Linked DNA regions of Elephas maximus indicus. The protein of the gene in region 2 interacts with the protein of the main gene of each other region in a biochemical or structural test. Links are inferred from orthologs where the notes say so. Each region holds a gene or a part of one and is shown on either strand. Other genes may lie near its edges.

Evidence for each region.
Region 1: the proteins of histone H3 (region 2) and AURKB form a complex in vitro, tested with the Homo sapiens proteins (2 studies listed by BioGRID, with this or other methods). The link is inferred for Elephas maximus indicus from reciprocal best matches to the Homo sapiens genes H3C14 and AURKB.
Region 3: of the proteins of histone H3 (region 2) and PRMT6, one has a biochemical effect on the other in vitro, tested with the Homo sapiens proteins (2 studies listed by BioGRID). The link is inferred for Elephas maximus indicus from reciprocal best matches to the Homo sapiens genes H3C14 and PRMT6.
Region 4: the proteins of histone H3 (region 2) and KMT2C form a complex in vitro, tested with the Homo sapiens proteins (2 studies listed by BioGRID, with this or other methods). The link is inferred for Elephas maximus indicus from reciprocal best matches to the Homo sapiens genes H3C14 and KMT2C.

Annotation. Positions count from the first base shown.
Region 1 is NC_064837.1:12,565,996-12,573,811, reverse strand, and holds the start of AURKB (aurora kinase B), read right to left. Parts: upstream 3,121-7,816; 5' UTR 3,062-3,120; intron 2,741-3,061; 5' UTR 2,716-2,740; coding exon 2,668-2,715; intron 1,232-2,667; coding exon 1,129-1,231; intron 1,022-1,128; coding exon 964-1,021; intron 719-963; coding exon 527-718; intron 240-526; coding exon 101-239; coding exon of another isoform or gene 91-100; intron 1-90. UniProt on the Homo sapiens protein: Serine/threonine-protein kinase component of the chromosomal passenger complex (CPC), a complex that acts as a key regulator of mitosis.
Region 2 is NC_064821.1:184,006,168-184,011,850, reverse strand, and holds histone H3, read right to left. Parts: upstream 1,097-5,683; 5' UTR 1,045-1,096; coding exon 634-1,044; 3' UTR 595-633; downstream 1-594. Other genes in the region: histone H2A type 2-A, read right to left, coding at 2,169-2,561; histone H2B type 2-E-like, read left to right, coding at 2,939-3,319. UniProt on the Homo sapiens protein: Core component of nucleosome. Nucleosomes wrap and compact DNA into chromatin, limiting DNA accessibility to the cellular machineries which require DNA as a template.
Region 3 is NC_064821.1:174,631,299-174,639,521, reverse strand, and holds the start of PRMT6 (protein arginine N-methyltransferase 6), read left to right. Parts: upstream 1-4,767; 5' UTR 4,768-4,805; coding exon 4,806-5,933; 3' UTR 5,934-6,028; exon of another isoform or gene 6,029-6,430; intron 6,431-8,223. UniProt on the Homo sapiens protein: Arginine methyltransferase that can catalyze the formation of both omega-N monomethylarginine (MMA) and asymmetrical dimethylarginine (aDMA), with a strong preference for the formation of aDMA.
Region 4 is NC_064838.1:10,192,285-10,200,553, reverse strand, and holds the start of KMT2C (histone-lysine N-methyltransferase 2C), read right to left. Parts: upstream 3,283-8,269; 5' UTR 3,020-3,282; coding exon 2,859-3,019; intron 2,650-2,858; exon of another isoform or gene 2,343-2,649; intron 1-2,342. UniProt on the Homo sapiens protein: Histone methyltransferase that catalyzes methyl group transfer from S-adenosyl-L-methionine to the epsilon-amino group of 'Lys-4' of histone H3 (H3K4).

The DNA.
Region 1 (7,816 bases), on a different chromosome or scaffold from region 2:
CAAGGGCAGACAGTCAGACGAGGAGGGACCTTCCAGCTGCGAGCAGTGCACCCCGAGTCTCGAGCCCCTGCTGGCGCCCTGGGTGCCCACCCGCCCAGACCGTGGCTGTTCGCTGCTCATCAAAAGTGCGGCTCTTCTGCAGCTCCTTGTAGAGCTCCCCCCGCGGGGCATACTCCAGAATCAAGTAGACCCTCCGGCGATCATAGAAATAGTTGTAGAGACGCAGAATGTTGGGATGCCTGGGGAAGCACAGAGGAGCCTCAGTCTGCATCCTGGCTAGGAGCCAGGGAAAATGACAGGTCCATATGGGGCAAACAGGACCGGGCTGGGGACGCCAGGGCTGGGAGTGGTGAAGGGGAACACAGGTGAGGATGGGGACAGCTCTCTGGATTCATGGCTCTGGCCCAGTTGAGAGCTAAGCAGACACAGCTGCCTGGAAAGCAGGCTGGAGGTGGTGGAATGGAAAGAGAAGCTTGGGGCTGGGGGTGAGGGGCAGAGGGGCTTTGCTTGGAGGGTGTTGACCTACTGCAGATGGGCCTGGATTTCGATCTCTCTGCGCAGTTGGTGCTCCACACCCTCCTTCTCTATCTGAGACTTGAAGAGGACCTTGAGTGCCACGATGAAATGGCTTTTCTTCTCCCGAGCCAAGTACACATTTCCAAACTTGCCTTTACCCAGAGGACGCCCAATCTCAAAGTCGTCAATTGTGAAGGGCCGCCTGATCGGAAAGTGAGGGGAAGGCCGCTCAGTGCCAGGAGGTGGCATGGGTTTGTTGGTCATTTAAATTGTTTGTCTTCTCCCTACTCCTCAGCCCATCCTGCTCTCAACCCTCTTTCTCTTGGAAGGGAGCTGAGAATGGACCAGACTTTCCTGCCCCATCCCTACTCCACCTGCCCCTGGGGTTTACCTCCCTCGTTTCCTATCCCACCTCTTCTCTCCCACCCCGAGGCTTGGGGTACTTACATTAAGAAGCTGGGTGTCCCACTGCTGTTCTCTGTCATCTTCTTCTCACCAGGGGCAGCTAAGAGAGAACAGGTAAGTTGAGGCCCTCATTTGACCTTCTCATCCCTGTGCCCTCCCCATAGGCTCCAGTCCCTTCAGGTCAATCCTCTCCCTCGTCTGAGTTACCTGTGGGCTGGGCATTGGAGCGGCTCATGAGGACAAGTGCAGATGGGGTGGCAAGGTCTTTCCGGAATACTCTTTGGGGCAGGGTGTTTAGGCCAGATTGAGCCTGAGAAGGAGCAAGGGGTAGCTCTGAGGCGCTTTTGTCCCAGTGACTGGGCTGGAATGTGCTACGTGTAGCAATTTAGCTACTTGCTATGGAGCCACGACTCACTCACCCCCAGCTCAAAGAGGAACACTGATAGAATTCTGCCACCCAGCCCTAAGACTCTGCTCAGAGCACAATATTACAATGTGTTATTAGTTATCAGCCTAAGTTAGACTTATATAAGGATCAAAAGACTCATCCCAGCGCCTCACGTTTCACCTTTTTGGCCCTGGCCCACACCACATTCTCAGGTACAAAGCTCTCCAGCCTCTATAGTCCTGTCCATAACATCACATTCAGTCACCCAGGCCCCCCACCCTAGGGAGCAGTAGTGGACTGGGTCAATGAACACCCACAATCCGAGGAGTTTTAGCACAGAGGTATTCTCAGTCCCCTAAAAGCCCAGTCTTTAAGGCTCAGGTGAGGTCCTTGAAGCCTTGGACGTTGCAGCAAACACCAGTAATTAGCCCTTTGCACCAACAGGCTTTTCTGGACACTGAGGACTACTTTGGTGGCCTGGGACCACTTCTAATTTTCAACCTCTCAGGTTAATATACGCAACTTTCTTTTGGGAGTGACCAATGTAGAGGTGACAGTGGTTTCTCATTCAGCCTCCACTCTTAACAACCTCACTAAGTGCTCCTGGAGGGAGGGAACTGTTGGACAAGGGATAGATGGACCCTCCAGGATGCCTAAGCCACACCAACAAGGGAGCTAAGCCAGTGCAGTGTTTCTTCAGCCCAGAGAGGAAGAAACCCTAGTGCCCTTAGAAACCTGTCCCAAGACAGCAACAAATAAACAAGCCCCAAAATAGACCCACATATATTTGGGAATTTAAAACGTATAATACAGGTGGCATTTCAAATCAGAGAGTGAACTCTTCAGTGAAAGGTGTTGGGACAACTGGCTAACCATCTAGAAAATACTCTATTTAGATCCTTCTGCACTCTAGTTATTAAAATAAACTCCAAATTATTAATTTAGACTTGTCCTTGACCTTTTAAACATCTTATTTCTATTTCCGGTCTATCTTATTTTTTTCAGGACAAGGGTAGGGAATCGTGGCTCAAAGGCCAGACCCTGACTCTGGCCAGACGCTCAGTCCCAGCTATCACTTGAATGTGACAAGTAGGCTCAGTCAGCCCAGCAGAGGGGCCAGTGGTTGGTCAGATTCAAGTTCACAGCACTTGAGAAGCCTTTAGGACGTGGCTGCGAAAGACCAGACCGGATTCTTCTAGCAAACTCTTGGAGCCCATACAGTGGAGCATACTAGCGAAGAAAGTGCTAAGAGGATCGGCCTCTGCAGGACCCCAAAGCTGGCATTGGGCGCCTTAGACAATCTCCAAGCAGTATCTCGCCATAGGGATAGGGGGAGGAGGGAGAGGAAAGGGCCTTACCGTCTGCCGGCCGTAGGGCCAGGGGTAGGCGTTCTCCTTCTGGGCCATCCTTAGAGGGAAAGGGGGCGGGGAGCTGAGCCGGAGGAGGGAAACAGAGCCGTGAGAAGAACATAGAATGAGCGCACGAGGGAGGGGTCTGACCTTTCTAGCCGGAAGCGCCTGCCTGGGGCTGGTGGAAAGGAGCGGATCAGCACGCTGGCCAGAGTAGTCGGGATCCCGGCGCTTGCCATTTCGTCCCTCCCAGCTACTGGCCCCACTCCCCTCCAGGACCCTCTCTCCACTTTTATACGCCCAGCAGCCCAGCGGAATGCGCGCGGGCCCGCCCAACGGACCCCGACCTGCCTGATCACCTGTCTTCTCCCGGCGCAAGGCCCGCGGAAGGGGGCTAGCTCACCTGGAGCCGGCAGGACAGCTGCTCTCCCTGCCTCCCGCAAACGACTGAATCTGCCCCGACGCGCCCCAGCCGAGGCGCTTTCAAATCTCCCGCCCTGACCCCATTGGCTGAGCGCACCGCCCATGCCCAATTCTTATTGGTTGGATGTTCCCTGACTTAGGCCGTGGGAGCCCAATGGAAACGGCGGAAGGCGCATTTCCGCACTCTCGCATTCCGGTATGGAGAGGTTTTCTTTCCCCGAATCAGATGTTCTCAAGTTTGTTTTTTTTTTTGTTTTTTTTAATTTAAATCTTTAATATCTCTGGAATTAATCCGTGTGTGTATGAGTTAAGATGTAACAGATGGGTAGTCAGTTATGCCAAGACTATTTGTTAAAACTGCCACATTCCCAACGTGATTTAAATGCCACCCTTAATATATGAAGTTCCGGTTTTGGGTCTGTTTCTGGGCCCCCTGTTCTGTCACCTTATTTGTTCGTTTGCGTGTGTGTCTGTCCTTGGGTCATTACTATTTTGTTCTTAAAAGTCCTGCATCCACTAAAACGTCCCTAGGAGGAAGTATATGGACGTTTCTCTGCAAGTTCTCCTGCGGTTGCCATGTTGTTTGAACCTGCTCCGCCGCCTTGCTGCAACGTTCGCCTCTTTTCTGCTCCTTCCGACGCAGAAGTAACCCCACATACTGGTTTTGCCTGTTTTGAACTTTGCATAAACAGACCCATACAACATGTATTCTTCTGTGCCTGACTTCTCTTGTTCAATACTATTTGTGAGATTCATCCATATTGTCGATGTACTACTGGTTTTTAAATATACATGAACACGATAAAATTTAAACAGTTCGGTTAAAAGTAAGACTCTCTACCACCCCAATTGCCTAGTCCTCTACTCCTATCCCCAGAGGCAACCATTGTCATCCGGCTCTTCTGTGTGCCAGCATTTTGTTGTCAAAATGATTCATCCTACCAGTAGAAAAATGAAAAAATTACAGTGTGATTGTGAAGAGGAACTTGAAAGCCCCGGTCCCAGCCACACTCCCCAGAGGTAAATTCTACTAATGTATTTTGATATACCCTTCTAGATCTTTTCTATGCACGTATTAGTTTGATATACCCTTCTAGATCTTTTCTATGCACGTATTAGTTTGATATACCCTTCTAGATCTTTTCTATCACGTATTAGTTTGATATGCCCTTCTAGATCTTTTCTATGCACGTATTAGTTTGATATACCCTTCTAGATCTTTTCTATCACGTATTAGTTTGATATGCCCTTCTAGATCTTTTCTATCACGTATTAGTTTGATATACCCTTCTAGATCTTTTCTGTGCATGTATATGTCTGTCCTTGAAAAAATGGCACAGATGGAATCATCACACCCATTGCTCTCCGATTTACCTCTTTAAATCTTTCAGTTTTCCTTGGACATTTTCCCACATCAACACAGTCAGACATAACTCATTCATTTTTAAAAATAATTTATTTTGTTGTTAAGAATATACACAGCAAAACGTACACCAATTCAACAGTTTTTACATGTACAATTCAGTGACATCGATTCCATTCTTCCAGTTGTGCAGCCATTCTCACCCTCCTTTTCTGAGTTGTTCCTCCCCCATTAACATAAACTCACTGCCCCCTAAGGTTCCTATCTAATCTTTCAAGTTGCTGTTGTCAATTTGATCCCATACAGATAGATCTTGGAGGAGGTACAGCCAGAATGCTACTGGCATAAGGATAGAAATATAGATCAATGAAATAGAATTAAGAGTCTAGAAATAAGCCTATATATTTATGGTCAATTGATTTTTTTTTTTTAATTCTGCTTTAGGTGAAAGTTCACAGCTCAGGTTAATTTCTTGTTCAAAAATTTGTACACATATTGTTTTGTGACACTAGTTGCAATCTATGTGACTCCTCCTTTCCACCTCAGGGTTCCCTGTATCCATTCAACCAGTTCCTGTCCCCTCCTGCCTTCTCATCCTGCTTTTGGATAGGAGCTACCTATTTGGTCTCATGTATCTGATTGAACTAAGAAGTACATTCCTCACGTGTATTATTTTTTTGTTTTATAGTCCTTTCTAATCTTTGTCTGAAGAGCGGGCTTTGGGAATGGTTCAGTTCTGGCTTAACAGTGCATCTGGGGGCCATAGTTTCAGGGATTCTTCCAGTTTCTGTCATGGTCAGTTGATTTTGACAAGTGCGCCAAGACCATTAAACGGAGAAAGAATAGCCTCTTTAACAAATGATGCTGGTACGACTAAATAAATTTCCACGTGTAAAAGAATGATTGAACTCTTACCTCACACTATATTCAGAAATTAACTCAGAATGAATCAAGAATCTAAAAGTAAGAGCTAAAAATACACCTTAGAAGAAAAAAAAAAAAACAGGAGTAAATCTTTATAATCTTTGATTTGGCAATGGTTTGTCAGACACCAAAAGCACAAGCAATGAAAGAAAAAAAAGATAAAATTAAAAGCTTTTGTGTATCAAAGGATACTATCAAGATAGTGAAAAGACTTCCCACAAAATGAAAAAAATATTTGCAAATCATATATCTCATAAAGAATTTATATCCAGAATATATAAAGAACTCTTACAACTCAACAACAAAAGGACAAATAATCCAATTAAAAAATGGGCAATGGACTGAGACCAGAAGAACTAGATGATGGCCGGCTACCACCAACGACTGCCCTGACAGGGAGCACAACAGACAGTCCCTGACAGAGCAGAAGAAAAGCAGGGTGCAGAACTCAAATTCTAGTAAAAAGACCAGACTTAATGGTCTGACTGAGCCCGGAGGGACCCCAGAAGACATGGCCCCCAGACTCTTTATTAGCCCCAAACTAAAACCATTCCCGAAGCCACCTCTTCAGACAAAGATTAGACTGGACTATAAGACATAAAATGATACTTGTGAAGAGTGTGCTTCTTAGCTCAAGTAGATATTATGAAAATAAATGGGCAGCTCCTGTTCAGAGGCGAGATGAGAAGGCAGAGAGGGACAGGAGCTGTTTGAACGGACAGGAGAAACACAGGGTGGAAGGGAGGAGTGTGCTGTCATAGAGCAACTAGGGTCACATAATAATGTTTGTATAAATTTTTGTATGAGAAACTGACTTGAACTGTAAATTTTCATTTAAAGTACAATAATTAAGAAAAAAGGCAATGGATCTGAATAGACATTTCTCCAAAGAAAATATGCAAATGGCCAATAAGCACACGAAAACATGGTCAATATCACTGATTACTAAAAAGAAAACAAAAACACATTGCCTTTCAGCAGATTCCAACTCATAACAACCCTATAGGACAGGGTAGAACTACCCCACAGAGTTTCCAAGGAGCTTCTGGTGGACTTAAACTGCCCACCCTTTGGTTAAGCAGCTGTAGCACTTAGCCATTATGCCACCAAAGTTTCCTCGCTGATAATTGGAGAAATGCAAATCAAAACCACAATGAGATACACTTCATGCCCACTACGGTGGCCATAATAATTAAAAAAAAAAAAAAAAAAGGAAAATCACCAGTGTTGGCGAGAGTGTGGAGAAATTGAAACCCTTGTGCATTGCTGGTGGGGATATAAAACGGAACATATGCTGTGGAAAACAGTTTGGTAGTTTCTAATAAATTTAATATAGGATTACTGTATGACGAGCAATTCCACTCATAGTTACATATTCCAAAGAACTGAAAACAGGTGCTCAAACAAAAACTTGTACACGAATGTTCACAGAAACACTATTCACAATAGCCGAAAAGTGGAAAAAACTTAAATGTCCATCAACAGATGAATGTATAAACAAAATGTGTCATAACTATACAATGAAATATTATTCAGCCATAAAAGGAATGAAGTTCTGATACATGCTACAACATGGATGAACCTTGAAAACATTAAATGAAAAAAAGCAGCCACAAAACGACACGTATTGCATGATTCCATTTATATGAAATATTTACAACAGCCCGTGTAGTCGTGGCCGAGTGGTTAAGGCGATGGACTAGAAATCCATTGGGGTCTCCCCGCGCAGGTTCGAATCCTGCCGACTACGCTTCGTTGGAAACCCTGGTGGTAAAGACCTTGGCTGGTAACCAAAATACCTCCAGTTCGAATCCACCAAACCTGTTTCACAGGGTCTCTAGAAGTCGACAACGACTCGTTTGGTTTTGGTTCTGGTATCCAGAATAGGCAAACCCATAGAGACAAGAAAGCAGATCAATAGTTGCTAGCTAGAGGCTGGAAACCCTGGTGCGCAGTGGTTAGGTGCTATGGCTGCTAACCGCAGAGGTCGGCTGTAGGAATCCACCGAGCGCTCCTTGGATAACCCTATGTGCTATAGGGCAGTTCTGCCCGGTCCTGCCCCGCCCTCACAATTATTGCTATGTTTGAACCCACTGTTGCAGCCACTGTGTCAATCCATCTCATCGAGGGTCTTCCTCGTTTTCTGTGACCCTCTACCTTACTAAGAATGATGTTCTTCTCCAGGGCTTGTCCCTCCTGATAACATGCCGAAGGTACGTGAAATGAAGTCTCGACATCCTTGCTTACAAGGAGCACTCAGGCTGTAGTTCTTCCAAGACGGTCTTGTTCGTTCTTCTGGCAGTCCACGGTATGTTCAATATTCTTTGCCAACACCATAATTCAAAGGCATCAATTCTTCTTTGGTCTTCCTTATTCATTGTCCAGCTTTTGCATGCATATGAGGCAATTGAAAATATCATGGCTTGGGTCAGCTATGGGGCATCTTTG
Region 2 (5,683 bases):
GAGCAGCCAAAGCACAGGAACCGAAGGATCTGAGCTAGACAGAGGCGGCGGTTTCCCTCCCCAGTACTAGGCCGCGCCGGGTGAGGCCGTTTCCGGCAGGGGCGGGGCGAGGGGGAAAGGATGAGCGCATACCTGGCAGCGGGCAGCTCTTCGTTCCCGCACAGGGCGACCCAGGCGCGCTCCCGTCCGCAGGAACTCCTTCCGCTGTCAGTTCGTTCTCCACTCCCTACCTACTCGAATTCGCATGCTGGGTCGCCGTGTACAAAAAAAGCACAAGAGCTTAGGCCCCCAAATGGCGGAAAACTTCAGTGCGGGACAGTGGGTGGCCAACTCAGAGACGCAAAACGGGCAAGCGCCAGTGACCTTACGAACCCAGTTAAGCCTGTAAAGCTCCAAGCCACCAGTTAAGCGGTCTATAAGCAGGTTAAGCAAACCTATCAACCCGTCCTATCTTTTACGCAACCCACCCCCGGGAACCTAGGGCTTCACCCCCCTAAACCTCTCCCCGACTTTGGGAGCGTCCACCCGGTGACGGCCCAGACTAAGTGACACAGCCGCTTTCGAATGCTGTTGTGGGTGGCTCTGAAAAGAGCCTTTGGATGAGATGGAACCCCGAGCCGAGTGCAGTGTAACTTAAGCCCGCTCCCCGCGGATGCGGCGGGCCAGCTGGATGTCCTTGGGCATGATGGTCACGCGCTTGGCGTGGATGGCGCACAGGTTCGTGTCTTCAAACAGCCCCACCAGGTAGGCCTCGCTCGCCTCCTGCAGCGCCATCACGGCCGAGCTCTGGAAGCGCAGGTCCGTCTTGAAGTCCTGCGCGATCTCGCGCACCAGCCGCTGGAACGGCAGCTTGCGGATCAGCAGCTCGGTGGACTTCTGGTAGCGCCGGATCTCCCGCAGGGCCACGGTGCCCGGCCGGTAGCGGTGCGGCTTCTTCACGCCGCCCGTGGCCGGCGCGCTCTTGCGGGCGGCCTTGGTGGCCAGCTGCTTCCGCGGGGCCTTGCCCCCGGTCGACTTGCGGGCAGTCTGCTTAGTACGGGCCATAACGGGTCAAGACACGAGCTAACCGGCGCAGCGACAGGGACAGGAATGCGAGCCCTCCAGCAGCAGCAGTCTTTATCGGCGCAGTCTCTCCCGGATTGGGCGGGAGGATAATTGAAAGTCCCGCGCTGACTGTCCATTGGCTGTGACGTCATCCGCCCTGGCGTCACCGATAGGCTTGGACAGAACCCTCCTCCGACCTCCCCCGCCAGCCCGCCCCCTTTCCTACTCTCCAGTTTGCCAACAGTTTTTCTCCGTTTTTCCCGATTCTTTCCTCGGAGAGGCGTTTTTGATTGCAACCTCGTGAGACCGTTTCTCCTCCGCCTATCATTCCTTTAGGACACGCTACCCGTGCCCCGCCTTTCTGCGCTGTGTTTGTAGCTCCGGAATGAAACATTTATCCCTTCCCCCCCAAATCTTGTAACCTTTTCACAGAGCAACCCACCCTCCCCCGGCCGCCCCGTTCGCTCTGGTTAATCGTTTCCTCCTGGTCGGTGCTTTTCCGCTTGGAAAGCTGTCCGCTCCCAAGGGTTAAGAGTTGGCCTGCGAAAGCCTAGTGTGGATCGGTATCTCCGCCGCACAAACGTTTTTTTTTATTCCCCAAGACGCTGGGCTAGGCTAAGCTGAGACTCGGGTCCGCTGCACTCTCGGAAACTGCTCCCCTGTAGAAGGGGGTGATAACGTATCCCTCAAACTAGGGTCGGGTCAGGTGGTGGGCAAAGCTTCGGGAACTGATAGTGGCGCACTCGGCGCCAAGCGAGCTAACGGGTTGGTGCTGCCCAGTATCTTCTTGTGGGTTAAAAGACCGTGGGTGGAGCCCAAGGTATTTGGTGCCTCCACTTGGGTTTAGTTCTAGTATGCGCAACTCACTCCATGAAATAAACGAAAAACGCTCGGAACTCAAAAGCTTGGGAGAAAAGCTAACAAATGGTATTCCACTTCCCACCCACCTCCTATATGGCGGCTACGGAAAACTCCGCTATCACTATCAAGAAAGTAGAACTGAGACTGGATATTGCAACAACTCTTTTCATTTGATAAGAGTGGGTGGCTCTGAAAAGAGCCTTTGGCTTATACGGATGACCACGGAGGACGGGGGCTGGGCGGGCAGTTTCCAGCCATCAACCTCACTTTCCTTTTGCTTTATGATGGCTTTCCGTCTTCTTCGGGAGCAACACGGCCTGGATGTTGGGCAAAACGCCACCCTGGGCGATGGTGACCTTGCCCAGCAACTTGTTCAGCTCTTCGTCGTTGCGGATGGCCAGCTGGAGGTGACGAGGAATGATGCGCGTCTTCTTGTTGTCCCGGGCCGCGTTGCCCGCCAGCTCTAGGATCTCCGCTGTCAGGTACTCGAGCACCGCCGCCATGTAGACGGGCGCACCGGCCCCCACCCGCTCGGCATAGTTGCCTTTACGGAGCAGACGGTGAACTCGGCCCACCGGGAACTGCAGGCCTGCGCGGGACGAACGAGACTTGGCTTTGGCACGAGCCTTGCCTCCTTGCTTACCACGCCCAGACATTACACCGAGAACACACGGACACAACTCTACCTAAACAACCGCCAAAGTCGCCACCAACTGCCCGGCTTCACCCTTTTATAGGCAGAACGGCGATTGTCTGCGGACCGTTTTGATTGGCTACAGCGCATCTTTGTCCTGAAAACCAATAGCATAGCTCGGTTAGAATCCATTCGTTTACATAATCTGGCCCGCCTCGCACCGGCGCCACTGGAAACCCGCGAATCACAGAGCAGCGTAGTCAGAACCGTCATTTGCGTACCGCCTCTATAAGTACCGAGCTGTTGCCAGCAGGCTCGGCTCGATTGTTTTGTTAGTGGTTTTGGGACGGGTTTTTTGTTTTTGTTTTTGTTTTTTTTTGCAGTTCGGTAGTTCTTATTATGCCTGAGCCGGCCAAATCCGCTCCTGCTCCTAAGAAGGGCTCTAAGAAAGCTGTTACCAAGGCCCAGAAAAAAGATGGCAAGAAGCGCAAGCGCAGCCGCAAGGAGAGTTACTCCATCTACGTGTACAAAGTGTTGAAGCAGGTCCACCCCGACACAGGCATTTCGTCCAAGGCCATGGGCATCGTGAATTCTTTCGTCAACGACATCTTCGAGCGCATCGCCGGGGAAGCGTCCCGCCTGGCGCATTACAACAAACGCTCGACCATCACGTCCCGGGAGATCCAGACGGCCGTGCGCCTGCTGCTGCCCGGCGAGCTGGCTAAGCACGCCGTGTCCGAGGGCACCAAGGCCGTCACCAAGTACACCAGCTCCAAGTGAGTCACCTGATGGGATGCAGCCTTCGCACAGTCTCCGGCTTCTTTGTTCCAAAGGCTCTTTTCAGAGGCGCCCATTGTGTCAACGAAAGAAGCTGTCACTGGCCCTATGGGTTTAATGTGTCCCCGCTGTATCTTGATACTGTCTTCAAGTCTAGTCTAAGAAAACTTAAACCTTGTTTAAACACAGGTATCTAGCTCGTTTCTGTCTCAAATGGGAAAAGAGTTTATGGCCGTGGAGGGTGGGGGAAAAACTTTGGGGGAGTAGGTGGGATTCGTCCTTCGTTCAATTGCTATTAAAATTGACGTTGGGTACCTGAATCACACGTGAAGGTTCAAGTGCTCTGGTAGTTGTTTTCTAGTGAAACACGGGTTTGTGCTGTATTAACCTTGATAAACGTTAAGCAGGATAAGTTACCTGTAAGAGCAAAGAAATACGATTCGGTTATTCCCAAGTGGTAAGGTTACTGGGAGTACTTAGATTTGTTCCATTACGTGCTCCTGTGCTGTGCACTGAAAAAGGATAATTTAGTTTCCTTCATATATGCTGCTGACTAATTTCTGGAGTTTGTGTCCTTAGTTCTTCAAAGCACCTGACTTAGGTGTTCAAGTAAAGATTCCCCAGTAAGGGAGATGGAATCTTGATTTTTAAATTTGGGAATTAAGTGCTGGTGTCTTCTCTCTGCCGCTTCTTACATCAAATAGCGTGAAGCCGAACCTAATTTAATCATGCAGTGATAATGTTTTACTCCCAAGAATTATCAACGGAGTTTATCCCTTTGTAACAACCATGTCGAGATACAGAAGACAGTCCCGTATAATAGGAACAAAATATGTATAATTTCCGAAGCTGGAGTTTGGAATGCAAAAAAAGTGAAAATATGGTGTAGCGCAAGCGGAATGTGATTGGTTTTAGAATTTATTTCCAGTGTATTGGGAACCCATTGGACTATTTTCAGGTAGGGTTGGATAATATGAGCTCATTAAACCTTTAAACCTTTAAAAAGGTTACTCTGATTGCTTTGGGGATCATGGTTCCTAGGCTGACAACAGCAGAAAACCAAAACCAAAAACCAAATGTGTTGTTGTTGAGTCGATTCTGACTCATAATGACTCTATAGAACAGAGTAGAACTGCCCCATACAGTTTCCACGGACTGGCTGGTGGACTGGCTGGTGGGTGCCGACTGCAGACCTTTTGGCTAGCAGCTCTTAACCACTGTCCCACCAGTGCAACAGTAAACCCACTGCTGTGGAGTCAGGCTCATATGACCCTATAAGAGAATAGAACTGCCTCAGGGTTTCCAAGACGGGCTAGTGGATTTGAACTGCTAACCTTTAAGTTAGCAACCGAGCTCTTAATCACTGCGCTACCAGGGCTCCGACAATGGCTCCGACAATAGAAGGCATCAAATTAAGAGGCTGTTGCAGCATTGTGAGCTGGATGTGGTTCTTAAAATCTGGCCTCCAGACCAACAGGAAGGAGTGCTGGTGGAGCAGTAGTTAAGTGTTTGGCTGCTAACCAAAGGGTTGGTGGTTCAAACCTACCCAGCTGCTCCACAGGAGAAAGACCTGGTGGTCTGCTCCTGCAAAGGTTACAGCTTAGGAAACCTTAAGGGGCAGTTACACTTTGTCACATGGGGTCGCTATCCACTCGCAGGCACCTGACAGACCAGCAGAATCAGCATTACCTGGGAATTTATTAGAAACGATAATTCCTAGTCCCCAGCAATCTAACAAGCCCTGGGAGTTGATTCTGATGCATGCTAAATTCTGAGACTCCCCTGGGTTTGGTTAGAGATACCCAACTGGAGTATGGTGATAGCAGTGGAGACTGTGAGAAATGGTGGGATTTAGATTATATTTTGGAAGTTGGATCAATAATCTGCTGACAGGATTTGGTTATGAGTGAAACTCCTAACTTTTTGGCTTGAGCAACTGGGTAGATAGCAATGTTCGAAATAAGGATGGACTCCTGGGAGGAGGTATGGTTTGGGGCATTGGAGGAGCTTCCGATTGAAATTTGAGAAGCTCTTTGATATTCAAGTGAATATATTGAGTTGGTAGTTTGACTTATCCAGGGCTCAGAAAACAGAACAAAACATTGCCTTTAAGGACTACCTCTGAACTTTATTTTTTCATGTTGTCATGAAATTTAATTTAGTAGTTGATAGCCCTACAATGTATATATTTAACTATGCAGCATTTATTTTTTCCTGTTTTCTCTAGTTGTATCCTGATTTTCATTAAAGAATCCACCTAATCCCTCATGTTAATTGGTTCTCAATTTTGGCCGCATATTGAAATTCCCTGGGGACCTTTAACAAGTACTGATCTTGGGTTCCACCCCCAGAAATTCTGATTTAAGT
Region 3 (8,223 bases), about 9.4 Mb from region 2:
TCTCTCAGTAAGCAGGAATTCAGAGTTTATATGTGAAATCCTCACCTTGGGCTCATACGATGGGGACCAGTGTGACGTCGGAGACTAGTATGTTATGTCCTTCCTCCAGGGTTAGAGATTACTCAAATGTCACTTTTTTTTAAGTTTAGAGATTAAGGAGCTTGTTTAGATTTTTTTCTCAAGGATAGTTTACAAAGATTAACTACGCTATGTCCTCTTTTATCACAGCATGAGGTCAAAGTCAACTTAACTTAAAGATTGTTTGCCATATTCCTCACACACTTCACATGATTCTGTGTCAAAGTTCAGAAGTTTTATAAATAACTATCTATGACTTATAGGTTTCTAATTATTTATATTTAATGTTAAACAGCCTCACAAAGGTAGATGCATTTCTATTTCTAAATTCATGTTTTAAGTGATTAAAAAAGAAAAAAAATATACATATGTATTTTGAAAATATTATAATGCCTTATACCCTATGGGATTTGAGACCATTATAGAAACATACAGAACAATTTAATTGTTCCTCTGTCGTGGATTGAATTATATCCCCCCAAAATATCTGTCAACCTGGCTAGGTCATGATTCCCTTGTATGATTGACTTCTACCATTTTATCTTCTAATTTCCCTGTGTGTTGTAAATCCTATCACTATGATGTAATAAAATGGATTAGTGGTAATTATACTAATGAGGTCTACAAGATTAGATACTGTTTTAAGCAAATCTCTTTTGAGATACAGGAGAGAGAAGTGAGCAGAGAGACATGGGGACCTCATATGACCAAGCAAGCAGTGCCGGGAGCAGCGTGCGTCCTCTGGACCTGAGGTTCCTGTGCTGAGATGCTCCCAGACCAAGGGAAGACTGATGACAAGGACCTTCCTCCAGAGCCGACAGAGAAAAAAGCATTCCCCTGGAGCTGGTGCCCTGAGTTTGGACTTCTGGCCTCATGGACTGTGAGAGAATAAACTTCTTTTTGTTAAAGCCATCCACTTGTGGTATTTCTATTGTAGAAGCACTAGATGACTAAGACAGTATCCAAGCATTCATTCATTCAAGACCAGGTGTATTTACTGAGTGCTGTCTATGAGCCAGGAATTATTCTAGTGCTGGGGACCACAATGTTGGGGAAACAAAAGTCCAAGTCTTCTGAAGTTTACCTTTTACAGAAACCAAGTAAACAAATAAAGTACATATAAATATTAATAAATGCCATGAAGGAAATAAACAGTGTCCTGGGATGGAAAGTATTATTTAAGGTGGCTGGGAATGCCTTGGGGCAGGTGACAATCAAGGTGAGACCTGAAGGATGAGAAAGAGCCATTCAAGTCAAATGTTAGGAAAAAACAATTTGCCAGGCCCTACAAGAGGTAAGGAAACCCTGGTGGTGTAGTGGTTAAGAGCTATGGCTGCTAACCAAAAGTTGGCAGTTCAGATCCACCAGGCGTTCCTTGGAAACCCTGTGGGGCAGTTCTACTCTGTCCTGTAGAGTTGCTATGAGTCGGAACTGACTTGATGGCAACAAATTTTTTTTAGAAGAAGCAAATGAAGACCTGAGACAGGAAAGTGTTATACTCTTAGAAAGCCTATATATTTTGAGCCCAGTAAAAATTGGGGAAGAATAGTGTGAGATGCAATCGGAAAAGTAGACTGGGGACAATGGGAAACTTCAGGATTGAAGCAGAATGCTATGGTCCAATATGGGTTTTTAAGAGCTCATTCTTGCAGCTACGTGGAGAATGGATTAAAAAGGATGTGGTTAAAAGCTGGAAGATCCATGAGTAGACTGATTTCCAGGCAAGCAAAGATGGAGGATTAGACCAGGGTTTTGGCAGTGGAGATGGAGGAAAGTAGATGGGTACAAGATATATTGTGGAGCTGACCCAAAAAAAACTTATATTTAGAATTTTCTTAAAAGAGATCACAAGGATATGAATTAAAAATTGAGAAATTAATGCATTTAAAAAGAGAAGGTGACATTTTGAGAAAGGAAAGAATGGGAGAAGTATACAGTAAATAGGGCAAAAACAGTTAACGTACTCAGCTGCAAATCGAAAGGTTAGAGGTTCAAGTTCACACAGAGGCACCTCAGAAGAAAAGCCTGGCAATCTACTTCAGAAAAATCAGTCACTGAAAACCTATGGAGTACAGTTCTACTTTAACACACATGGAATCACCATGAGTCAGAAGTGACTACAGAACAATTGGTTTAAAGTGGTCACATTTACAACTCTAATTCCATGTCTGGGGTTCTATTTTCTTAAAACAAGGTATTAAACCAAGAGGAGGGGAGTGGAGGAAGAACTGCTAGAAGGAATTTTAGCTATAACTGGTTGTGGTTGAGCCCGAGCCCACGTCCCCCAAAAGCTGACAATTTACCCAATGAAAAATAATGAAGCAAAATTTAACAGATAATTTTAATAAGAAACAGTGGTTCTCACTCTGGCTGCACATTAAAATCCCCTGGGGAGTTTTTTAAAAACTAGATGCCCAGGCTCCACTGGAGGTTCTGATTTGATTGGTCTGAGGTGGGACCCAGGCATAAAAACCTACTGCTGTCAAGTTGATTCACTCATAGCAGTCCTACAGGACAGGGTAGAACTGCCCCACTGAGTTTCCAAGGAGCAGCTGGTGGGTTAGAACTGCTGACTAACAGCCTGAGCCCCTAATCACTGTGCCACTAGGGCTCTGGGACCCAGGCACAGGTATTTTTTTAAAGTTCCTCAGAGGATTCTAATGAGCAGCCAGGATTGAGAGCCCTGAGTAAGAAGTAGAGCTGAGGATGCCAGATCAATAAACGCATTCCACTAATGAAGGATTAATAGAATAAGGTGAAGGAAATTTTCCCCCAGATAAGCAATACAGACCTAATACTTAAACGTAGTTCAAAAAATGCAGTACGGAATTTCCAATTCTCATGGAACCCAGGCTTTCTGGAGCCACTGAGGCTGGATGAACCTCCAAATTATTGCCCTAAAATAATCTTTAAACGTTAAACCAAAAATATCCCCTAAAGTCTTCTTTAAACCAAACAATGGTTTAGTAAAGAGAGTCTGCCTTGAGTACTATGCTCTTTTTAAGAACTATCCGTACGGGATCAAACTGACAGCAGCAGCTGGTAAGGTTAGCTAGGAAGCTTACGGGGTAGTGAGTTTACATTTAATGCAGGAGGACTAATTCGGAAAAGGAAGGTGATAATGGTTGCATAACTTGAAGAAAGTAATCAATGTCACTGAATTGCACATGTAGGAACTGTTGAATTGGTGTATGTTCTGCTGTGCACGCTTTCAACAACAAAAATAAATAAAGTGTATATATATAGAGAGAGAGAGAGAGAGGAAACCCTGGTGGCATAGTGGTTAAGTGCTACGGCTGCTAACCAAGAGGTCGGCAGTTCGAATCTGCCAGACGCTCCTTGGAAACTCTATGGGGCAGTTCTACTCTCCTACAGGGTGGCTATGAGTTGGAATCGACTGGACGGCAGCGGGTTTGGGTTTTATATATACATATACACACACACACAAAGTTCAAGATCACAAAGAAAGGACAGCCAATTTTGTTGGCTTTTTTTTTTTAATGTTAGGGAAAAATGTTCTTACCTGACTTGTGAAGAACATAGACATTCCTAGACATCACACATACTTAAAAATATGTATTTTTTCCCCATTATGGTCAGCAAAGAAGAGAGAGGTTAATAGGCGATGGATGAATTAAAGAAAAATAGAATGGCAAGAGGAGACTACTATTTTGCCCAGACAAGGCAAGGAGACACACATAGGACAATTAAGGCGTTGCAGTAGAAAACTGACAGAAAGAATGAAGGATACAGATATTGGGAAGGGAGGGGTATTATAATTGGTTACTAGCATACATTTGACAGTGGGTTGGATTGTACTGCATCTTGCTTTTCAACCTGTCTTCACTCTGTACCCGTCCAGGATTTAACTCTTGTATGAAGCGCAGAGTAGCAGAGAAGATACGAGACAGCCAAGTAACTACAGTATCCTCCTGAAATGAAAATCAGAAACGTAATTCTCCTTCCACTGCAATCAAGATCCCTTATTGCTTGTCGGTGAATAGGAAATTGACAGGCCAGAGAAGTTATTTACCCTAAATCATTCAACTAGCAGTCAGATTAAATCAGAACCAAGGTTTTTCATTATTAGGTTTTTACTTTGCTTCATTTACATTTTCTTGCACCTACCTCCTCTGAAAATAGAAGAGATTGTTGTCGCAATTTTCCAGATAAGGGGTGCGACCCTTTTAATTCGGTGGAATAAAACGACTGAGTTGAGCAGAGAAGGCAAAAGTTGTAATTTTAGTTTAAGCGGGTGTGTCCACCTCAGGGAGAGAAAGCAAAAAAGGAACTGAGAAGCTAAGGTAAGGAGGGGCCTGGTAAGGTAAGAAGGGTAATAAGGTAAGGAGGGGCCCTGGTGGCGCAGTGGTTAAGAGCTCAGGCTGCTAACCAAAAAGTCGATAGTTCAAATCCAGCCGCTGCCTGGAAACCCTACGGGGCAGTTCTACTCTGTCCTATAGGGTTGCTTTGAACGGCAATGGGTTTGTTTTTCGTTTGTCTGTGTTTTGGTTTAAGGCAAGGAGGGGAAACTGACAGAATTACAGAATGTGGGTGTTGTCAGGCGGAAAACGTATGTCGGGACTTCGAAGGCAGCGCGTTGCGGCCCTGCGGGCTACCCAACAGGAAGTGAGAAGCTCGGGTGGGCACTACATGTCCCAGAAGCCCATGCTTCCTGGGACCGCGCGACGCCGCGCAACGCCCGCCGGGAGCCGACCGGAGCTGCCAAGATGTCGCTGCTCAAGAAAAGAAAGCTTGAGTCGGGGGGCGGCGGCGAAGGAGGGGAGGGAACTGAAGAGGAAGATGGCGGAGAGCGGGAGGCAGCCCCGCAGCGACCCCGGAGAACTAAGCGGGAGCGGGACCAGCTGTACTACGAGTGCTACTCGGACGTTTCCGTGCACGAGGAGATGATCGCTGACCGTGTCCGCACCGATGCCTATCGCCTGGGCATCCTGAGAAACTGGTCAGCGCTGCGAGGCAAGACGGTACTGGACGTGGGTGCGGGCACCGGCATCCTGAGCATCTTTTGTGCCCAGGCCGGAGCCCGACGCGTGTACGCAGTGGAGGCCAGCGCCATCTGGCAACAGGCCCGGGAGGTGGTGCGGCTCAACGGGCTGGAGGACCGGGTGCACGTCCTGCCGGGGCCGGTGGAGACAGTGGAGTTACCGGAGCAGGTGGATGCCATCGTCAGCGAGTGGATGGGCTACGGGCTCCTGCACGAGTCGATGCTGAGTTCCGTGCTCCATGCGCGGACCAAGTGGCTGAAGGAGGGCGGCCTTCTCCTGCCGGCTTCCGCTGAGCTCTTCGTGGCGCCCATCAGCGACCAGATGCTGGAGTGGCGCCTGGGCTTCTGGAGCCAGGTGAAGCAGCACTACGGCGTGGACATGAGCTGCCTGGAGAGCTTCGCCACGCGCTGCCTCATGGGCCACTCGGAGATCGTGGTGCAAGGCCTGTCCGGAGAGGACGTGCTGGCGCGGCCGCAGCGCTTTGCTCAGCTGGAACTGGCCCGGGCCGGCTTGGAGCAGGAGCTGGAGGCTGGGGTGGGTGGGCGCTTCCGCTGCAGCTGCTACGGCTCAGCGCCAATGCACGGCTTCGCCATCTGGTTCCAGGTGACCTTCCCCGGAGGGGATTCGGAGAAACCCCTGGTGTTGTCCACTTCACCTTTTCACCCGGCCACGCACTGGAAGCAGGCGCTCCTCTACCTGAACGAGCCGGTGCAAGTGGAGCAAGACACGGACATTTCCGGAGAGATCACCCTGCTGCCCGCCCGGGACAACCCCCGCCGCCTGCGTGTGCTGCTGCGCTACAAAGTGGGGGACCAGGAGGAAAAGACCAAAGACTTTGCCATGGAGGACTGAGTCCTGCCTTTTCTCCCAGTTACCTCCCAAGGCGGCCTGACTTGTGTGGGAGAGGCGTAGGGGGGTCGGAGGAGAAGGGAAGATCCCACGTGCAAGTAGGGGCGATATCTGTCTGCCTTTTTTCTTGTCTCCTGGGGAGGGAGAGTGACTTCAGTCTCTTTTTGAGGAGATCCTGCTGGCAATTTTTATTTAAAGAGTGATGATTCCCCACAGCAACCGCTACAGCGTAGTTATTAATGTGTGTTTAAGCCTCAAAAGCCTGTGGTACCAAGCACTTTTTTTCTATTTCTTTATTTTCATGGGGCGAAGGGGGGACCCACAGAAGAATGTTGATTTGTGAAGAGTCCGTTTATTCAAGTCTCTTACACCTCTCACACCATATGTACATCTGAAGCCAGGGAGAAGGGTAGAAGGGGTATTTTCTCAACCTGTGAACTGTCTCCCACCCCAAACCAAACCCGTTGCCATCCAGTCGATTCCAGCTAAGGCTATATATGGTACTTCTGCCTACATTGCTTTTTTAAATAAACTTTTAAGACTGGGAACGAGGAGGGGGAGAATGAGCACTTTAAATAGCCGTGTCCTTATTACTCTTACTACTTCTATAGGGTGCTGAAGTTGATAATTAATCCATTAAGTAAAATGGATTACCTAAAACATTTAGAAGGATTTTAGGAGAAAAAGACCTGAAAGGAGTGAAGTAGTATGGATTTTTTTATTCTTAACTATTAAGACTTAACCAGAAAATGTCCTATATATATTCCATAATATATTTTTGCCCAATTCTTACAAAACAGGCTGATGGAGAATTCAGCCTCTGACCCAAGGGCTTATTCATTGCCTGAGTGAATTATTTAAACTCACTAAATTAAGGAAAATATTTTCATAACTAGAACAGTGCACTCATTCTCATTTGAACTCCCTCACATAGAAGGGATCCTGTGACTTGGCCTACTTACATCTAGTGAAATATAGTTAAAGTTCCCATTTTAGTTCCTTTTCTTTTTAGCTCAGCCAAATGTGAAAGTTGTGAATTTAGGAAAATCACTTGTAATGAAGTGTGAGTCATGTTATCAGATTTGTTTCACTGATGTTCCTCTCCTTACCCCCGTGGCAAATAAAACATTGGCATTCTCACTATTTTTCCAGCTGATGTAAGAAGTCTTGTGTACTGCCTGAGCTATGATGTTTTTGCCTTTTTAATATTGTCAGATCTGACGCAAAGTGTTACAACCCCTTCAGAATATAGCTGCAGGATAATTCAAACTATGCTTAATATATAGTTTTTATATGCCAACAGCTTTGTGTGCTAAGAGAAAATAGTTATGAAAAACTGGTCATCTTTGAAGTTATTTTAACTTTGCTTACTGTAACTGAGTTTTCTGTTCCTTTATTCATTGCATATTAAAGTATTTCTGTATTATTACTAAGTTGCTAAAATGTGGTGTCTAATGTATGAGACCTGCCATTATGAAGGGAACCATACATATATAAAAATCATTGACTTTACAAGATCATTGAATAGCAGTATGGTCTTAAGTATCACCATTTTGATGTCAAGGTAGTTAACGGCTTACATAAAATAGTATAAAAATAGAACACTAGGCTTGGTTTAAGCTAGTTTAAAAATAGCTATTTTAGGGTCAACTATCTTAAATTGAACATTTATCCAACATTTAAAGGTTTAATGTACAATTTTGAGTAGATTTCTGGAGTGGTTGTGTGTGTTCAACTTCCTATAACAATCCTTTTGCTGTATTTTTTTTATGAGCAAATGAAACCATTCTTCCAAATGTTATTCTTACCACCAGGATGAGCACACAAAGGAAACCCCAGTTAAAACTTTGGATAACTATAACTAGTTATAAAGGGTGTTTAATAACTAAGCAAAGTAAGCTTTAAAATCCTTGTTATTCTTTCCCCTAAGAAACATAAATTATCGTAAAAATACGAAATACGTAAAAGCAGTTTGTCGAGAGGCTGTATAGCATGGCGGATAAAAGCATGGGCCCTGGACTCAGCCCATGCTAGAGCCTTGTCTCCACCGCTCTTGTTATGTAATCTTGGAAAAACTGTTTGCCCTTTTTCTTTTCACTCAACGTTCTCATTTGTGAAATGGAAATAATAATAACCTATAGAGATCAAAGGTTACAATGAGGTAAAACATAGTTCATGGTACATAATAAGATCTCAGTAACTATTAGCTCTTATGGAAAAGGCTTGTGCAAATCTGCAACAGTTGATGCATACAAAATGTGTGCTACAGAGCAAATATTTAATATTTTGGTTT
Region 4 (8,269 bases), on a different chromosome or scaffold from region 2:
ACCTACTTTTCAAACTCTGCCATTAAGATTAATAGCATCAGTTCAAAATTCTTGATTTTAGGCAGTACACATAATTTTAAAGTAATCACCGTTTATATAAAACCAATAACTATACAACCTACACTTTTAAAATGGAACAAAACATTAAAAATATCTAATACAATAAAACAATGCCCAATTTATTTACCTAATTATTAAACATTCAAACTGAAGAAAAGGATAGCTAACAGTGAACAGCTACTTTTTTTTTTTTTTTTTAAACCAAAAACAAATACACAAAGACCTCTTTAAAAAATAACAGTGTCATGAGGCATCTTCTTCGCTGGCTTAACACAACCCACTAAATTAGCGATCACCTAAATATCACTGACAATTTTAAATTATTTTCCTTACATTTCAAAAAGAATATTAATTTTCATTTCTTTGGTGAATTATTTCTCATTTCACATAATTTCGGCCATTAAAAACCTAATTTACATTTCTCATTCCTTATAAGAAATCACGTTACGTATCAGTTTCACTTTCCGGGTCCAGCTAACTACAGGGTCTTTACTGCATGAATCCCAACACCGTGTAGAGACACACAATTGAAAAACCTTCCCTTGGGTTTCCATTTCACATATTAGTTTCCATTTACATGTTTCTAAAGCAATTGGAGATTCCATTCCCTTCAAAAGACAAATCTAATTTCAAAGAATTCACTAAAAAGTTTAGAACCATCAGAGTTACTGCTAGACTTTGCTTTCTTATAAGGAACGCCATACTACTTTCCAAAGCTAAAGAAAAAAACTTAAGATTTAGAATTTTTCTAAACATTTCACAAAGTTTTGATGTTTTTACAGTGTTGGGTTTGTGTCATTCTGTGGAAATTTTTTAAATTCTCAAAGGGCCACCTTTTTCTTCATTCATAATATGAGAGAAAAAAATTCACGCTTTTATAAAATGGTAATACCCTAAATGAACCTTTTCTCCACTGCATCCTGAAGCTGTGCTAACACAAATGAGCTCATTCCAACAGCAGGGTAAGTATGTGTGCGTGTGCACATGTAAGCGTGCCTATGGGGTGAGGGGCAAGACAACATGGATAGGTCCACTGTAAAAAAGAGTAAGAATTTAAATGCAGATCTAAAACATACAATAATCCCAAATTAATGTTCAAAAAGACACCGAGAGATGGTTTTCAAACAGTGAAAATGGAAAGCAATCAATTAAAAACCCTACTATGGCTTGACTGGTGTTGCTTTGAAGGATACAAAAAAGTGGCAAAGTTTTAAAGTTACTTAAAACTCTACCTTCCTTCTCCAAATTTCAGTTAATACAGTAATAACAACAATAACGTTTTATGCCAGACATTATATTACAGCAGGAGTGGCGTAATAAATAAACCCTAACTTTGTATCACAAAGAAGCTAATATAATAATGCATGCATCCTGTACTTCTTGTTTCCCTCACGGTTTGTCATAGCTAGGTAAGAGCTGGCAGTAAAATATGGAGGCAAGCTCAAGGCCCTGAATCATTTTCACAATGAAAGGATAAAAAAGCACATACGGTCAAGGGCTGCAAGGGATTCCCACAACCGGGCCTTGTTACGCCTCAGTAAATTCTGTTTTTACTAGTTATCACGAAATATAACCATACTATTACTAAATGAACGCACCCAAACCGAAGAAACTGCTTTCCTCCACTTCCCAGCGCCCCTTCCACTACAACAGTTCAGTGAGAACCTCACAGAATGAAATGACGATCCTGTACACGCCATTCCACAACTTTGTGGGGCATTCACAGATCTCCCAGAGCGCACCAGAAAGCCACAATAGCTGAGCACTAAAAAGCTGGCACTAAAACGGGCTTCCTCCTTTACAGACAAAGTGGCCGTGTAACCATTTTTAAAAAGACATTTCTAATTTCTGGTGATCTAAAAAAAGGAGGCATACATTCCTAACCTACGTTCAGAAACAAAACCTGCTCCTAACCCAGAAATCGTCAGGAGTTACTACTTCAGGGTAAGTTGGGCACCACTTCCATCTGTATTCTATCCGAATCAATGTGCTCCCGATATCCTGCCTGGTGTGGGAAGGCTGGCGACGCTTCCAAAACTTCAGGCACTGCTTCACCTTCAGCCGTGTGGTCACACCGCGCTGGGCTTTGGCTGCCGAGCAGCGCGGACCCGGGTGTGTGCGGGGAGGGGGGACGGAGACGTCAACTGTCTTCCTAAATTCACATTAAAGGGTGAAAATACAGGTTTGCGATCCGGAAAAGTTGAAGGAACGCCCGGCTGACAAAGAAAACCAGCGCCAGCCCTCCGCCTTCTTCTCGCCCACCCACCGGGGCCCAAGCCCACCTGGCCCAGGCGTTTGACAGCTACGAGTTTCCCGAGAGCCGGCGGCTCCGTAGTTGGGGACCGACCCGCCGAGGGCACCACCCGGGGACGCCTCGGCGCTGCGTCTGTTTTCCTGGACGATCCACTTAGGCCAAGCCAAACCGACGAGAAATTTCCCCTAAAAGCCGCACGGAGCACACACACCGACGAGGCCAAAGTAAAAAGTAAAGTGTCGCGGCGCCCAGCGCCCGAGCGGAGCCTTATTTGGCAGGGCGAGCTGCGGCCGCTCCCGGGCCGGGCGGCGAGGGGCGCAGCGCGGTGGGCGGCGGGCGAGGCGTGGGGGCCCCGCGGCAGCGCCAGGGTGCCGACAGCGCCCGGCCGCTCCCCGCCCCCACCCCGGCGGCGGCGGGCGGCGGCGGCGGGCGGGGGGCGCGGCGGCGGCGGGGGCGCGGGCGGGCGGCGGCGGCCGGGTGCGGTGACAGCTCCGCCGCGGCGCCGGGGCTGGCTCCCGGCCGCGCTCCCTCGCACTCAACTTACTTCTTTCTGGCTCTCTGGAAAGGGGAAGCGCCATCTTTGCGAGGCCGGCCCCGAGGTCTTTTGTCTGCGGCTGCGGGGCTCGGGGCCGGGGCTCCGGGCTCCTCGGGGGGTGGTGGCGGCGGCTGCGGCTGCTCCGCGCTCCGGTCCTCCTCCGACGACATCCTAGTCACCAGGAAAGACACATGGATCCCGGCCCTCCTCCCGGGGGCTCCTCCCGCCGCCGCCGCCGCCGCCGCCGCCGCCGCCGCCGCTGCTGCTCTGGTTCCTCCTCCCCGGCTCAGCCTCTCGCATCTCCCGCAGCCCGGGGAGCAGCCGCAGGTACCGGGCGAGGAGGCAACATGGAGCGAGCAGGACGCGCACTCACACACATCCACACGCGGGCGCGCGCACTCGGCGCGCAGGGGCCGGCGGGGGCCGGGCGAGGGGCCGCGGGCCGCGGGCGGGCGGGCGGGCGGGCGGGGCGGGGGGCGGGCGCGCGGGGAGGGGCCGCCAGGGAGGGGGCTGCGGGCGGGCGGGCGGGCGGGCGGGCGCGCGCGGGCGGGCGGGGCCGGGGCCGGGGGCGGGGGAGCCGGGCGGGGGCGGGGGAGCCGGGCGGGGGCGGGGGCGGGGGGGCGGGCGCCGGCTCGACCCCGGGGCTCCGCCCGCCGCCCTCCCCCAGGCGCCGCCCGCGGCAGGGAGGCGGCGGGGGCCGAGGCGGGGAGCGCGGGCGGGCGGGCGGGGAGCGGGGGCCCGGGCGGGGAGCGGGGGCGGGGAGCGGGGGCGCTGCCACCCGGCCTGCCCCTCCCGCCGCCGCCCCTCCCCGCCGTGGGCCCCGGGGGGCGGCGGCGGCGCGAGGCGGCGAAGTTTTGACAGCTGCTCCAGTTGTTGTGGGCTCCGGGCTTTCTCCCTCAGGGCGGGCGCCTCGCTCTCGCAGCCTCGCGCTCTCACACTCACGCTCACAGCACACACTCGCTCACACACACACGCCGCTCTCACACGCTGGCTCGCACTCGCTCTTTCTCACACACTCGCTCCCTCACACGCTCGCTCGCCCCCAGGAGAGGGCAGAAGGAAGTTGTGTTGCTCGCGTGTACCACACACGCGCACCACCGTGGCGTACGCCGGGGCTGCGCTGCGGTCTCTCCCCCGCGCGACACGCACCACGGACCTCTCAAACTCGCCGCCGTCTCGCCCACACAGCCCTGCCTCGACGTCCCCGCTCCCACCCCCTTCCGGGGCCTCCCCCCTCGCCCCCCCGCGCGCCGCCGCGGCCACTCACAGAGCTCGCTCCGCGCCTGCGCGCTCCTGTCCCCCGCGGACGCGCCGCCGCGCCGTGACCTCACCGCCCCTCCCCCGCCTCCCCTCCCCCCTCCCGGCTTCCCCACCCCCTCCCCCGCCCCCTCCCCCGTCCCCCAGGTCTCCCTCCCTCCTCTGACGCGGCAGCCGAGGCCACAGCCGGCGCTCGGGCTCGGGCTGGGGCTCGGGCTGGGGCTCGGGCTGGGGCTCCGGTTCGGGCTCCGGCTCGGGCTCCGGCTCCGGCCCCGGCTCCGGCCCCGGCTCCGGCTCGGGAGAGAGCCAAGTTGCGGATGCGAATCTCCGGGATCTGGATCCAGAAAATACCGGAGAGAGAAAGGAGAGCTTTGTAAACGCTCCAAAATACACAGTCATATAGAAAAACCCTGACGCGATGGCAGCGCTCTCTGCCTCCCGCACACAGACACTCACTGCGTTTCTTCCCCTTTTCTATCTACCCGACATACACAATGAGTGTAGAGATGACATAGGCGACGTTACCGCCTTCATATACATCATTTTTTTTTTTCGTTTTAATGCCCGTCTGTGGAGAAAAAGAAATGGAGCACAACTTCACTATCTAATTCCAGTTATAGTTTCGTATTATAAAGTCATTTTTTTAATCCAGAAAGGGCTTATAAAGCCGCAAGGCAGACAAAACAATGTTATCTCGAGGAATAAAATGTTTAAAGTTGGAATAAACCGATAAACATCCAACAACTTGATTTTAACCTTCGGTGATTTGTGATGAAGACACAAAAATCGAAGCATTTCTACGCTACCTAAAAATGGTTTAAAAAATGGGACTAGAATTAGAAAGTGAAATGTACATTTTCTAAGGTATAACAGTTACGTGTTTCTGTATTTAATCCAGAGGTAACACTTGGACAATGTTTTATTCTGTGCTTTCCTTTCCATCCACTATTGATTAATACGTGGCAGTGAAAAAATTGTAGATTTGAACTAGGGAAAATATTCAGACCTCTGAACCACTTGAGAAAGGATTGTTGTAAAGAATCATTTAATTAGCATCTACTCTGGGCCTGGCACTGCTAGACGCTTTCTGATCATGATTCGTTTCAGTCTTCAGAACAACACAGTTTTAGTATGAGGTAAAAATAATATCCTGATTTTTCTAGGGATGTCTTTTGCCTTCCCATAATCCCAATAGGCAGGATACATATTGAATGTGGCTTTCGATTTGGACAAAATACACACACTTTGATTTCCAAAGTCTATTATGGCTAAAAGCATAGCTTTAAAATGGCTGAAATGAGGAATATTTTAAGACAGCCATTTGAAGTTTTCAGAGTTTAATCCCTATCGGCTTCTTTAAGTTTTCTGAATTTTACAACCAAGGGCTGTTTGAGTTTTGGGAGAAGCTGGCTTGGTGAATGCAAACTATAAATTAAAAACACCTGTGTATTATACATAGACAACATATACGTGAATGACTAATAATAAATTTATGAAGTGATATATTTAAAATTTATTAAGTACAAACATTAAAATTCACCCTTTCTTTTTCATTTTTTCTGCGCATTGCCCTTTAAAGAAAATACACATTCAAAAAGTGGACTGTTGATCCATATATTTTTCTGTGTCCAATATTGAAAATTACAACAGCCATTTCCAACTTCAAGTCTCATATTCTGTGAGTTTCACCAAATTGTACATCAGGGTAATTCAGTGTACTTCTTTAGCACTTAGGAGAATGTAAGTGTGGGATACACATAGTTGCAAGTCAATCCTACTGGAGACAACTTTTAAAAGAAAACAAGAAGGGACTGAGAAGAGAACAAGTGGGTAGAGTAAACGGCAGGACAGAAATAAAGATTTTTGCTGTGACGCTTCTGGAAAGATAAAACATGTTGAAAGGTGAGTAAACCTGGCCTTTTTATTTGGCTGCATTTCTTTGGCTACAGTAAGCAGAAGGGGAGTTGGGATCTGTTTTAAAAGGACTGATAGCAGGCTCTTTGGCATGAAGTTATCATGAGCAGAGCAAAGAAAATACAACCCAGGATCTGAGGAAGGGTTTAAGGAGTACATAAATAAAGGTTTCCCAAAGGTTTTTCCAACTCAGTCATCCAAATTGCACTGCTCTGAGACCACACTGGCAAAAGCCCAGGAGGCAGGTGGCTGAGGTTCCTCTAAATTATAAAAGTCAGAAGGGCATTAAGCATCTGGCAGGAGGACCAAACACCAAAAAAATTAAAATGTTTACTTTCTAATAAGTACACATGTTAAATACGCATTTTTTTAAAAAAAATATGGTACACAGGTAACAAACTGTTAGTAGTGATTAACTGGCTAAAGGGTCAGATTACAAGGGAGTTCCTATATTATGTTTTTTAAAATACTTGGACCTTTCGGAGTTGGTGTAGCACTCTTATAATCAGAAAACATATGTATTAAAATATTTAAAATGTCAGAAGGTTAGGATGGAAGGTTGTTGCAGTACAATGAATCGCTTTTATATGGCCTTTCTAGACATGGTCTTGTGACTCCCACAAAAATATTCGATGGGCCACAATCTTCTAAGGGATTGGTCAGGTTACTATGCAAACTGAGTAACTTACAGTTCACCAAGGGGATTGGTCAGTTCGTGGTCCTGGTGGGAGGGCCATGCCTTGAAATTGAGTATTAAGGCCAAGCCCACAGAGGGGCATCAAAAAGAAGAGTCTGGAGCAGAGATTGTCCTTTGGACCAAGGAATGAGAACCTCCTAGACCCGGTAGAAGAAGTGAACACTGAATACAAGCGCAAGATAGCAATAGACAGCGACAGTGGGCTTGCCGACCCACCGAGCGAGAGCTGAGCACCTTCAGGGAGGAGACTCACCAGCGGAATTAAAAAAGCTGTAATGCTTGTTCCTTCAGGGCGGAGGCCTGACCGTGCCCAGTGTAGGGGTTGCATGCCTCCCTCCCTGGACGGTGGGGCCTGAGTAATGTGGCACAACACAGCCCTGCAGGACCAGGTAGCTTGGCAGGAGCTGGTGGCAGAGGCCAGTGAGGACCAGAAGAGACCAGAAGACTTGGGAGCCGTGCAGGGCACCCAAGCATCATGTTGGTAGCCAGAGGCAGTGGCGACATGAATAGGGCATCTGGTATCTGACGTGAACCACGGCGTGCCTGCCCAGCGACATAAGAACGGACGTGGATAATTTGAGGAAGCGTAAGCATTTACCCTTCTCTGAATCTGTTGTTATTGTTTACCATTTGCTTTCTTTAAATAATAATAATGGCTTTCACTTTACCAACACTAAGTGTCTCATGTAGCACTCATGGAATGCCTGATGCCAGTAGGTGTATATGTCTCATTCCTACCAGTCTTATGGTTGCCTGGAAGTTTGAGGCACAGTCTGTCTGCCTGTGCTGTGCAGACAGACAGATCATACAGCTATTATCTGCAGCAAGGAAACTAAGCAAGGGAGAGTCTAGCAAACAAGTGACAGCGATTAAAAATACATACTATAATACCCACTCTTACTAACTGAATGCCTATGAAACGTCATTGATATGTCCTTATTGCTTCATTTTAGTGAATGTAAAGATATCTGTATGACTTTTCCATAGTTTCAATACTCAACATTGTCCCTCTCTTTCTGTTTTCCCATAAAGTCTTAAATTCCTCAGGAATTTTTAGGAACCAAACTTTCCCAGTTGTGGAGAAACCATAGAAAAATTCTAAGTCTTAGAATTTTTGTGTTCAATGTTTACTATTACAATTGCACTAAAAAAAAAAAGGTTACATTCACAGGTTATTATTTTTGGTCCTTTATTTTTCTATAGGAAAAAAATATTTTTAAAAGAATTCCAATCACTTGAAAGTAATTGTTCCTTCAGGGCGGAGTTAGTTCATTGTTAGTCCATAGTATATTTTTACCTTTAGAAATTCATATTGCTTTGTATAGGTTTTTTTCAGTAATTTATACCATATATTATGTATGTGATGGAAACCCTGGCAGTGTAGTGGTTAAGAGCTATGGCTGCTAACCATAAGGTTGGCAGTTCGAATCCACCAGGTGCTACTTGGAAACTCTGTGGGGCAGTTCTACTCTATCCTATAGGGTCACTATGAGTCAGAATTGACTTGATGGCAACAGGTGTGGATTTTTTTTTTTTTTTTAATGTGTGTGAT